3 linked regions of the Coturnix japonica genome follow. The protein of the gene in region 1 purifies or fractionates together with the protein of each later gene. This does not show direct contact. Links are inferred from orthologs where the notes say so. Each region holds a gene or a part of one and is shown on either strand. Other genes may lie near its edges.

What was found. Proteins that work in one complex are often made in the same cells at the same time.
Region 2: the proteins of KCMF1 (region 1) and ACOT9 purify together in Homo sapiens (affinity purification with mass spectrometry; 3 studies listed by BioGRID and IntAct, with this or other methods). This does not show direct contact. The link is inferred for Coturnix japonica from reciprocal best matches to the Homo sapiens genes KCMF1 and ACOT9.
Region 3: the proteins of KCMF1 (region 1) and ABHD10 purify together in Homo sapiens (affinity purification with mass spectrometry; 3 studies listed by BioGRID and IntAct, counting the BioPlex papers as one, with this or other methods). This does not show direct contact. The link is inferred for Coturnix japonica from reciprocal best matches to the Homo sapiens genes KCMF1 and ABHD10.

The regions. Positions count from the first base shown.
Region 1 is NC_029547.1:47,688,734-47,692,233, forward strand, and holds part of KCMF1 (E3 ubiquitin-protein ligase KCMF1), read right to left. Parts: intron 559-3,500; coding exon 419-558; intron 1-418. UniProt on the Homo sapiens protein: E3 ubiquitin-protein ligase which accepts ubiquitin from an E2 ubiquitin-conjugating enzyme and then transfers it to targeted substrates, promoting their degradation by the proteasome.
Region 2 is NC_029516.1:107,410,922-107,415,070, forward strand, and holds the start of ACOT9 (acyl-coenzyme A thioesterase 9, mitochondrial), read right to left. Parts: upstream 2,801-4,149; 5' UTR 2,677-2,800; coding exon 2,663-2,676; intron 1,451-2,662; coding exon 1,359-1,450; intron 335-1,358; coding exon 308-334; intron 1-307. UniProt on the Homo sapiens protein: Mitochondrial acyl-CoA thioesterase. Catalyzes the hydrolysis of acyl-CoAs into free fatty acids and coenzyme A (CoA), regulating their respective intracellular levels. Regulates both mitochondrial lipid and amino acid metabolism.
Region 3 is NC_029516.1:79,418,018-79,421,987, reverse strand, and holds the start of ABHD10 (mycophenolic acid acyl-glucuronide esterase, mitochondrial), read right to left. Parts: upstream 2,801-3,970; 5' UTR 2,777-2,800; coding exon 2,644-2,776; intron 1,826-2,643; coding exon 1,642-1,825; intron 1,467-1,641; coding exon 1,355-1,466; intron 248-1,354; coding exon 110-247; intron 1-109. UniProt on the Homo sapiens protein: Acts as an acyl-protein thioesterase that hydrolyzes fatty acids from acylated residues in proteins.

The DNA.
Region 1 (3,500 bases):
TCCCTTGAGAACAAGTCACAGAAGAATTACAGCTTCTGCTGCATACAGAATGTAATTACAGTAACAAAAGACTGCCATAACTATGGTCTTACCCAACACCGTAAACTCATTTAGCAATTGCACACTGGTTGTAAAAAGGAAGCACAGTCACAAGAATGCTTTAAATGTTGTTCTACAGCTAAAGCTCCCAAAAGCAGCAACCTTTACATCACAGTAACCAAGCAGCAACCATAAAAGTAAAAAGGAAGCTCATTATCTGAGAATAACCCCCACCCCCCCAAAAAATGTTATCTTGAAGTGCAACTTCCTCTAAAGCATTTAAAAGAACTCATGCTTCAAGAAAAACACTGCACCCGTTTTCCTGAATATTCTATTTAATGAATTTCCACCACAATTAAAGAGTTCTGATGCTTCTTACCACTTCTGTTGATGTTTCCGCGTGCTCAGAAGTAACGTGTTCTTGAAGAGTTGTTTCTGTGTGACCCATTTTCCCACAATAAGGACAAGTGAAAGACTGTGGCTGCTCTACAGAGAAAGCTTCTCCACCATAGTACAAATCTGGAACACAAAATATTTAAATAGACGTTACTTCACAGTATTTCAGTCAATTACTTCGTTCACTTAAATATTTCTTTACGTACTTGAATATAATATCAGCAGCAAATTAATCTGGAATTTAACTGAGATTTCTATATTAATCCTCCACAAAAGCCATACACTTATATTCAAGAAGCCTTCAATTACTGATGACAAAACAGTCAGGATACAATTCCTTAATATAATTTCCTAATAGTCAGTAGTAGCAAAGAGTCCTGGCTGCTGCTGCCGACAAATCTTCACTTTTCCATCACTCCTGCTGTCCTCAGTACAACATCACTAGGATATTTTTAAATCACAAGTTTAGTTTTAAATTCAGAAGTCCTCAGTGACATCAATATTTGTGCCACAACAAAGCAACTGTTCAGTAGTAAGAACTTCTAGAAATATTTTAATATAGAAATTATACAAGAAAGAAATCTAACTACGTGTTGATGTCAAGCACTGATGAAAGCACATACTTTCAAACTGCTAAACAGCTCTCCATACAAATTATGCAATAAATAATGCTTTTCCTCTCTCCTCCTCTGCAGAAGTTAACGTATTTCACAGGAAACATGAACAAACTTCACATCCACATCAAGATTAGAAAACACATCTTTCTTGAGCAATTTGTTTAAAATTTATTTACTAGCATCTTTCTAGGACTTTATCATAAATAAGTGGAAGACTTTCAGAGAATTATGAATATTGTTCTATAAGTTTAAAAAAGGCTAAATCTGTAGAGCTAGAAGAACATATCCTGCATCTCAAGACAATATCAATCTAGTGTATTAGGAATATTTCCTTCTGGGGACATAAGTCACCACTTCCAAAGGTTTATTTCATCTTCTGCTAGTGAGCTGTTTTTAGGAAATGATGAGGAAGAGAAGCATTTTCATTTCTGTAGCCATACAAAAGATAATGTTGATGCTAAAAATACATGTACCTACAGTCTATTACATTAGCAGACATTACCTAAGTTATGAGAGCTAACACTCCAAAACCAACACAGGAAAACATGTTTTAATAACATGCCAGCATACAGTTAAAGATACAGGATGAACAAAGCTGTTCAGATAGAGCACACCACAGGACCGAGTTTATATTCAGTAGGTCCTTTTTCCTCTTACTTTGAAAAAGGGCTTCCAGAGATTTGAGAGTAAGAAATTCAAGTCGCCTTTTTCAAGAGGTATGGTAAAGTATACTAAGCAGATGAGAAGCTACACCAAAACAGAAACACTTCACATGCTGGATATAGGTTAATTCATTCCCAAGAGCAAGTGGCAGAAACCTACGTCCAACCATCCAGAGCAGAAAGCTCCCTTCCTGAATGATGAATCAACCATCTTTACAGAACATGCAGTAAGAAGTCACACAATAATCAACACAGTTCCAAGACTGAGGTGTTACAGACAATGTATCAGATACAGCACAGAAGACACAAATAATTCAGTGAACAAGGGATGGAGGCCCGGATGCTACTTCAGTAAATACATTTAACTGAGAACTCTTAAGAAAGTTTCCCCAGTGGTCACATTCAGACTCCTATTCCAGTGCTGCTAAAAACAAGAGTAGATGTATTAAAAATAACCACTATGCTGCAGCATAATGAAATATGAAGGATTTAAATATGCCGTTGTTTCAAAAGAAGAAAAAAAAAGGTTTCTTTAGAAAGTTCTGAAAAGTTGCTAAGTCGTCTCTGACTGGATCAACTGTATGCAAAGGGGAACAAATACACTTATAGAAGAATACATTCAAAAGGAAAAGACTCAAAGACGATTGCTAACTAATACAAACAAATACAAAAATGCTTCAGTGACAACTGGTGAAAAAATCCTCCATAATATTTTATTTGGGCAAATAAAAAGAGGCTGATTACACAAGTTGTTGCTGTATGTACTGATCTCTATGTAGTTACGAAGAATTCCAAATTTAACTCTATTTAATCTCTTCACAGGAAAACACTGTTCTCAAGGTAATCCAGCAATAACGTCAGCAAAGAAATCTGTATACCTGTATGAATAGCAAAAACACCATCAAACACAGACACTAGAAACAAGTGACTGTTCATTCAGTTGATCTTTTGATTTCCCTAAAGTATGAGTAGGAACCTCATCGTGATGACTAAATATTAAACTAATGATTGGAAAATGAAGAATTATTTTCTGCAGCAAACACATAGCACACACACGGGAACACTAAAGCTCTCTTCCTCTAAGGACCATTCCTAGCCAGGGAGTCTTACTCATATTTTCAAGTATTAGCAACTTTTTAATCAATTTGGATGTAACAAAACAACAACTGAAGACAGTAAGCTAAAAAAAAAGAAGCAAACATTGTTTAAAAGGCTTGTGTATCAAAGTAGCTTCTGTATCTCCAAAAAATTCCTCAAAATTACTAGGTGGTCTAAAACCCTCTATGTATTTTCAAGTAAAGGACTAAATAACATGGAGCCATTACCAATCTAAAGACAGTGAAGATTAGCACAAAGGTAAATATCTGTCTTACATAAGCTGTTAGCTCAGTACAGATGTCAAGAAACCCAACACTACATGCTGCTCTATCACAGAAAAGAGAAGCTTCACAAACATTGCCAAACTGTCTTCCTGGTCCTTGGTTTTTGAGAAAACCAAAAAAAGCCCTTACAATTAGAAGCAGTTTGGGGGAAAATGAGGGGGCTCCACAAATTACTGTTCTGATGCAATTGGCCCATCACCAATTACCATCCCACAAGAAATCTTTCAGATACTGCATTTTGACTATTTCCAAATGCTTTCCTACAAAAATGTCTGAGGACGTGGCCATCCTCTGGACCTCATCTCAGAAGAGCTGGGAAGTCAGGTAAGGCTGCTCAGTTAAAAAAACAAACCACACACAGATGAAATCACATTCCTAGAGAAAATTCATTACCCCACTGCTGA
Region 2 (4,149 bases), on another chromosome or scaffold:
AAAGCTAAGTAGTGCAGGAACTGCTACGTAAGAGATTTTGTATCCCACAAGGCAGTTAACATTGTGTTATCCATCATGCGATCAGAAACAAGCACAGGTCTAGTACAACAGTCTGGTCACAAAGATGACCAGAGACACTCACTCGTCATGTCCAACAACCTTAAAGAAGGCAAAGGGGGCTTTAAGCAAGTCAGCGGAGAAGAAGTGGTCTTCACTTTTCAAGGATGCTGAAGTAAGGCAAAACAGTAGCTAAGGAAGTTGAGCATTTTAGCAAATATTAAAATATATACGGGTTACCACAACACACCATTATTCACGTGAATGGGTAATTGTCCTGTGGAGTGGAAAACACAGGTTAGGTTAACAATGAAAAAAAAAAACAACGGAAATTACACCCATTAAGGGGTTTACTTAATTACTTTACCTGCTTAAACTCCATTTAATTAGATAGCTCTGAAGTTTAGTAAGCAACTGTACGCAAATTGTCCTTGCTCACGGCCAAGATTTATAGCCAATACCTTTGTGATTTCAGTTGATTTAGCTCTTCCTTTCCAGCTTTATAATTCCTTTATCTACTGGCTACATGTAATATCTGCTTGCATTGTAATCCCAAACAGTTTTTCAGACCACTTATTTCAGCAAATATTTCTCTAACAAATACTGAAGAAAAGGCATCTAACAACCCAAAAACCTTTATCTTCTCTTTAACTGGATAACCCAGGGTTTCTATTCAGAGAGTAAATCAGAAACAGGCAGAAGTCCACAAAGGAATAGTTTGTATGTAGTTTCAGTCCTCTTCCTCCTTCCTATTTCTCAGTATATGGGATAAGAACACAAGGAAACATTTTTAATGCTTCTGAAACAGCAATGCTGTGGTTTATTAGTAGCAGAGCGTTAAAACAATCTTTCCACACAAAGCTCTATTGACAAAGTGCATTTTCACAAGGCAATCATGCTAATCAGATTAATAGGTTTCTCTAACTTCATAAAATTAGCAGTACTGACAACTTCTGTTCTGTAAGACTCATTGTTTCCACTCAGTTCCTGTCTTTTGGCCATTTTACTCGGGTTCCTTAGCACTTTGCTTTATTGCATTGACTTTCTAGCTAGAGTCATTCCTCCAAATAGAACTGCTCGCTCTTCCAAGACTAAAGATCCAGACACCTGTAACTTCAGTCACCTACATATGTTTGTTGCCACGAACCTCCAAAAACATGCAGTCATTTTCTGATGCTTTCTAAACATTTGTAACATAAGAGGCAAGGGTGTGCCCATCCACAATGCACACAAACCATATAAATAAAGTGAGCTGCTGAGAAATGTTTATAAATCTTTCAAAGTACAGGCAACTACTTTACCTTCAGCCATGTCTGGAAGCAATGGCGAGCCATTGGTCCCAGATACCAGTGTTCTAGCCAGAAGAGAAGGAAGTTTCTGCATGGTGTACAACCTATATGGAGGAAATTCAGCGTGATTAGTTTGAAGGCTATGAGAATAATATAAGATTTACTTTGGAATGGCACTGATTAGTTCAGAACCTCCACGCCTTGCTTTTAGTACAATTTTTAGAACCAGATGCAATGCATACAGTAATTCAAGCCAGCCACTACCATCTGCAAACAGGAAGGATGATTCACTGGAGGTGAATGCTGACTGTGACTTTCAGAAGCAGGAGGGAAATCGATTTTTTTATGTGGGTAGATAGTGATAGGACATGGGGGAACGATTTTTAAATAAAAGAGAGAAGATTTAAGTTAGTTGTCAGGGGGAATTTTTCCCTGAGAGGTTGGTGAGGCACTGGCACAGCTGCCCAGAGAAGCTGTGGTGCCCCATCCCCGGAGGCTCAAGGCCAGGTTGGATGGGGCCCTGGGCAGCTGAGCTGGTGGGGGGCAGCCCTGCCCATAGCAGGGATTAGGGCTGGGTGGGTTCTGAGGTCTCCTCCAACCTAAGCCATTCTGTGACTGTATGACAGCCATGACCCTAAATATATGCTTCGCTTGCACGGGGCTGGAATGTGCAGAAGTGTTAGAAGGACTATCCTGAGGCACCTATCACACAGCCTCCAACTCAGTGCCACTCGGCTAACCCTGGTTTTTGTGCTCATGGTTTGGTATGGGCACAACACTTCACAAGCCCAAAGAGCAGGATTATCCCTCAGCTGCTCAACAGAAAGTGACAACCATGAGACCTCTCACAGAACATAACCTACCCTGCAATCCACCCAGCGCTCAAACAGGCAGCACAGCAAACAAGACTGTGGCAACGCAGCACAAAGATAAAGGAATAAAAGCCCTCCGGATAGCACAGGGCACAGGGGCTGCCAGTACCTTACACCGAGGCTGGGCAGCAAAAACCCAAAGCACCAGTGGAGAAATCCGAGCATCTCCGCAGCCCCCCATACACACCGATCAGAGCGGTGCTGATGGTGCAGCCCTCCATAAGGACCATATTAGCTCCATATTAGCTTCAGGGCTAAGCCCCCCTCCCACAGCCCGGCCAGCTGCCCTCAGGTCTCCCCTCAGAGCCCGCAGCCCGCTCCCACATTCCCACACCACAACCGCAGCCGGTGACCGCGCCCAGCCCTGCCGTTAGGGGCCACGGCAGACTGCGGGGTAACGGGGGGAAGGTACGGCCCCTTCTGAGTTGATTTGCCCAGCCTTACCGCCCGCTCAGCATGGTGCTCACCACGTCCACACCGCCGAGACGCGCCTGCCCCAGGCACGCGGTCCTCCAGCACCATAGAGGCGCGGCGGGACAGCGCGGTCCTTCCGCTGGGTGCTCCCGCCCACAGGCAGGAGATGGCGGGCGCTAAAGGCCGGGTGGGATGGGGCTGTGGGGAGCTGAGCTGAGCCCTGACCACGGCTGGGGTTGGGGCTGTGAGATCCCTCCAACCTAAAGCCTCCTGTGGTTCTATGGCTGTGTGTTTACAGAAGCAGCCTTCATCAGGGGAGAAAGCTGAGGCAATCGGGTGCAAATTAAAAGCATGTTATCAGTGCGAGTGTCCAGCTGAGCTTCACAACACTGAATAAAATGTTGGGTCATATCACCATTAAAAGGATACTGGGGAACCAGCAGGACCATTTCCTTTGGGCTGCCACCAGACTGGGCTTCTATCTCTGTGGAGAACATGCCTCATATGCTTGTATTAATACCAGTTACACTATTGATACCAGGAAGCTTACACTCATACCCATCAGAAGTGTAAATAAATAAGCCAGCCAAGCCCTCTGGAAATCATCAGGAACTGAAGTATCAGTTTCTGCTACATCAAGAGTGACATCAGCAACACTGAGAAACCCATTTGGCGGAATGCATCCCTGCCCACAGCAGGGGGGGGGGTGGAACTAGATGATCCTTAGGGTCCCTTCCGACTTACTGGGTGAGTCATTCTGTGATGCTAAGATGACGTGAAACATTCTTAAAGCCTCTTTTTTAAACATGCTTGCCATTACACTGAAAAAAATACCAATGGTAATATATAAGTAAAGAATTACATCACAAGCTCTGAGATATCTTAAGTATGAGTGGGGTTTTCTTATGGGGGGAAGGAAGGTTGATGGGCTGATTTATTCTGTGCTTCTTATTGGCTCATAAAAGATTCTTTTGAGGCTAGGAGTTCTCCAGGTATTTTATTCTTGTGCATTGTGAGTTTGAAATCTAACTCCAATTGGTTCTAACTTCTAAAATCACAGACTCTTCTGACTTGAAAGTGAAAGAAATCAGCCACTTTCTGCTCTTACATAACAGCATTTTCTAATAGCGTGACTTCCTCATTGTGAAATAAGAAACAGCTGAGACAATTCACGTACTCTTTTTGATAGAGACAGTGTTCCCCATTGCTGATCCCAGAGAGATTACATCTAGGAGCTGAAACGATGTCTATTGATGAAATGCATTGTAGTTAGGCTGGACCTGGTTTTGGTAGCTGAGAAGGCTGAGAGGGGATCTCATAACTGTTTATAAATACCTAAAGTGTGAGAGTCATGTTGATGGGGCAAACTCTTTTTGGTAGTGAGCAGCAATAGAACAAGGGGCAATGCAGCTGGAACTCAAAGAGTTCTGTACTAACATGAGGAAGATCACAGAATCACAGAATTGTAGGGGTTGGAAGGGACCTCTAGAGATCATCGAGTCCAACCCCCCTGCCAA
Region 3 (3,970 bases), on another chromosome or scaffold:
GAAATATCGGAAATCTTGAAGGGAAAGTACAGCTTGAACAAAAGAACTTTTTTCAAGCGTTTACCTTGCCAAATGTTTTGCTTGCACAACAGACAACCATCAGCTTTACCTCAATGGAAAGCCTCCTAAAGGCTGTTACGAGATGGTCTGCTGCTACAGCTACTCCAACTAGAGCAGCTACTTTATCTGGGCGTGCTATCGCAGCATGGAGCATCAGCCATCCTCCCAAGCTGGAGCCCACCAGAATCTTAAAAGAGAAGAAAACAGATGTTACTTTATAGGAAACAGCTTTTATTTTCTATTTACAAAGCGTCGGCTTTCATCTCATTTAAGTACTTAAACCTTGGACATAATCCTGCTGTCCTTACCCAGGCAGAACTGTTGTCACCTCCAGTGGAAATTTTGCCTGAGTAAGCACTGCAGAATCTGGAATGTTATTACTCTTTTTGTTTGACACGGATGGCTATTGATCTCTGAGACTGAAACACTGCAAACAAAATGAGAGTTGAAACAATTCAGTATTGCTTCCATACTTTTCTTAAAGGCCCATCAAAAGGCTCTGTGCAGCGGCAGGTCAACAAAAGCAACTGAGAATATAAAATGTTTTTCAAATACAATACTAGGCTTTTCCGGGATGCAGACTGACTTTCTCACAGTCATTTCAAAAGTAAATGAAGAAGCCAATCACTGTTTTGGCTCGTTTTTGTTAAGCTATTTTATTATATAGAGCATCTTAACTTCCAACGTTCCTGCAAATCCTTCAATTAATGGATCAGCAGTGGGACAAAGCCTCACTCTTCCAAGAGGAGAACTGCAAAGCACTGAACAGCTCCTTATAATCAGCATCATCATAGAATCATCATAGAATCACAAGGTTGGAAAGGACCTATAAGATCATCTAGTCCAACTGACCTCCCTTCACCATACCTACAGAAAACCCTTAAACCATATCTCCTAGCTCCTTATCCAGACACTTCTTGAACACTGCCAGGGATGGCAACTCCACCACCTCCCAGGCAGGAGGCTTGTCCCTTACTAGGTGGAACCTCCTCCACAAGCCTTTCCCAAACCTCTTGGGACCGGGTCAGGGCTCATGTAACTCAGTGCCAGTGACAGCTCTGCTCTACTGAAGCATCTCCTGCCAACCCACACCTTCACAAAGTTGTGATAAACCTGTTTGCAAAAGAAGCCCTACAAATAATGTCATTTCAAACAGGCCTGCTTGACAGCTAGAAGGTGCAAGCCGTTAAACAGAAGCTATTCTAGACAGGATCTACTGCAGTGTATTTTTGATTACACAATATTCCACCTTCAGGAAAAAAAACATGTTTTATATTTAAGGATGAAATACAACCTGTGGTCCATCTGTAAGTTCATCCAGTACAGAAAGAACATCTTTCCTCCACTTCCCAATTGTACACTCCTCAAAGTTCCCCTGTGAACTTCCACATCCTGTATAATCAAATCTGAAAAACCAATCATCAAAAGTTGTGGTACTACCTACAACAACACAGAAAATAAAACTCAGCAGTATTGCTGAACACAAATTAAACAGAGCTTGTGTACAGAACAGCATGCACTACAAATCAAACACCCAACTCAACATATGATACCTATTTCATATTCTCAAGAACAATGTACCTGACGAAGGCATGACCTTGACAGCTGCAGAAATCTTCAAGGGCAATTGCTTTCTGACCATTCATATTTGACTGGAAGCCTGGAAGGAAAATAACCCCTGGATTCCTGCCTTTCAGCTTACGGTAGGCTAGATTTGGTCGATCAGGTCGAGTAAGAAAGCTGACTGACGACTTCCACCTGCAAACTAATAAAGAGAGGTATGAAGTACCACCACTAAGACAGCTCTGGCAGAAATAATAGCATTTTATAAAATGAGAATTCAGGAAATATATGTATGTTATGTGAAATTACAGTACTTAGGCTCAGGAGAAAAGAAAAACAGAAGTGTCTTCTACATTCTTCAATACTGTAATGTAATGATTTGAAGGTGCTTAGCAGTAACATCAGTCACATGCTGACTACTGTCAGTAACACTGAAAATTAGGGTGATAAGCTCTGAGTCAAGATCCTCAGCACTGTTTCATCTTAACAGCACTTAGACACAAAACACAGGAGGTTAAAAAATCAAGCTGTGTTTTCTGTAAATACAAAAAAAAAAAAAAAAAAAAAGTATTAAATACAAATCATATGGAGAAAGAGTTGACTGTTGTGGAAATATACATTTCTCATGCATCTCCTAAAGAGGCAAAGATCTGCTGAACTCAGCAGCCAGCTGTACCTCTACTGTGGATGAAGATAAGTGGTTTGTAGAGAGGCGTTACAAGGAATTAATCCACTCTATTATCCCTCTCAGCAAGATAACGTGTTAAACTGAAAGCTTGGACAAGACTTCTGATAAGACTCTAACCCTCTTAATCTTTAAGATTAGAGGATTGTACGTCGCACACTCCGCTCTCAGGTAACACCCCCCGCCCCTTTTACCCCTGGCAGCTTTCCAGCCGCTCTACCCCAGCGGCAGCAGTGCCCAAAGAGTGAGACCCCGCACCAACACACCCGCCCCCTCCTCCTCGCGTTTCCTCAGGCAGCGGAGCGGCTCCATTCCCACCCGGGGCCCCTCCTTACCCGGGAGCCCCAGGGCCGCACTGAGCAGCGGCAACCCCAAAAGCGGGACTGAGGTGCAGCCACTGCACCGCCGCAGCCCCAAAGACGCCGCCATGTCCGCCTCCACACGCATGCGCCTCCGCATGCGCTCCATGGGCTGCTGTGGTGAGCGGGTGCTGTACGTACCTCAGGGCTGCCCATCGAGACCTCTCATCTGTGAGGGAGCAAACAGCTCCTGTCTGTTTAGTTTTGCCCTCAAACTCAGCGTACGCCCCAGTCCTGCATCCAGACACCATCTCTACATCAAACCTTTCCCTTACAGATAAAGCACTTAATGCTGTAGAAAGGGGTGTGATTCAAACGGCTTCAGGAGCATCACTGGTTCTGTTGGATTCCAGAATATCAAACGAAAGCATGGGAACCAAACTAAAGAAAAGCGTTCTTTAGTTCTTTAGTTCCCAGTCTGTGCAGGACTCTCTGCAGGCAGCAGGGACAGCAGCACCCGGCTACAGGTGCATCAGTTGGTAGTTGATAGACTGATAGCTCTGGAAATAAGATGTTTGAATAATAAACCTTCTCATTTGTCACATCCTTTTAGTCCTTCACTCATACATTCATTTATTTAATTAAAATCACAGACTGAATTTGAATTTTATCTCTCAGAAGGGAGTTGGAACAGCGGTTCTAACATCAAGGTAATGGTTTTCTGTTTCAGTCGGGCTCTAGATAATTAGCCATAGAGAGTGAAAGACTGGATGATGTTTTAGGAATGTGAAAGTGTGCCTATACATCATAAAGCAAGGTGGCAAGATGGCAGTTAGTTGGGATGTATGGGAAGCTGTGGGACCACACAACATTGCTTGCACAAGCGTATAAAATAATGAGAAGACAAGCAGAAACACATCAAGAATCAAGCGAGCATTTAAAAGTGTGTTTTTAAAAACATTTATTGAAATGCCTTCATTGCATCATGCAGGATACAAAAATCATGATTAGAAAACCTTTATAACTATGCTAAGAAGTAAAATCAAGATACGTCAGGGAAAAATAATAATTACAGATACCAAAGGAATTTATTCTGATAGTGTTTTTAAATGGTTGGATTATAAGCTGTGATCTGCACAGATGATAACAGTTACCTTGTGATAACTGTCCCTTCTTTCATTGATTCCAGTCAAAACTGACCGATGTCATGCTAGCAGAGCAACCCATATCACCTGTGTGTATCACACAAGGAAGAATGCATCCCCTTCTTAACAGACATGGGAGTACAACAAAGATATTTTGCCAGCAAACTTGTTTTGCTTTCAGTTTTTCATCTGCTTCATCAAAAGCCATTAGCTTTTCA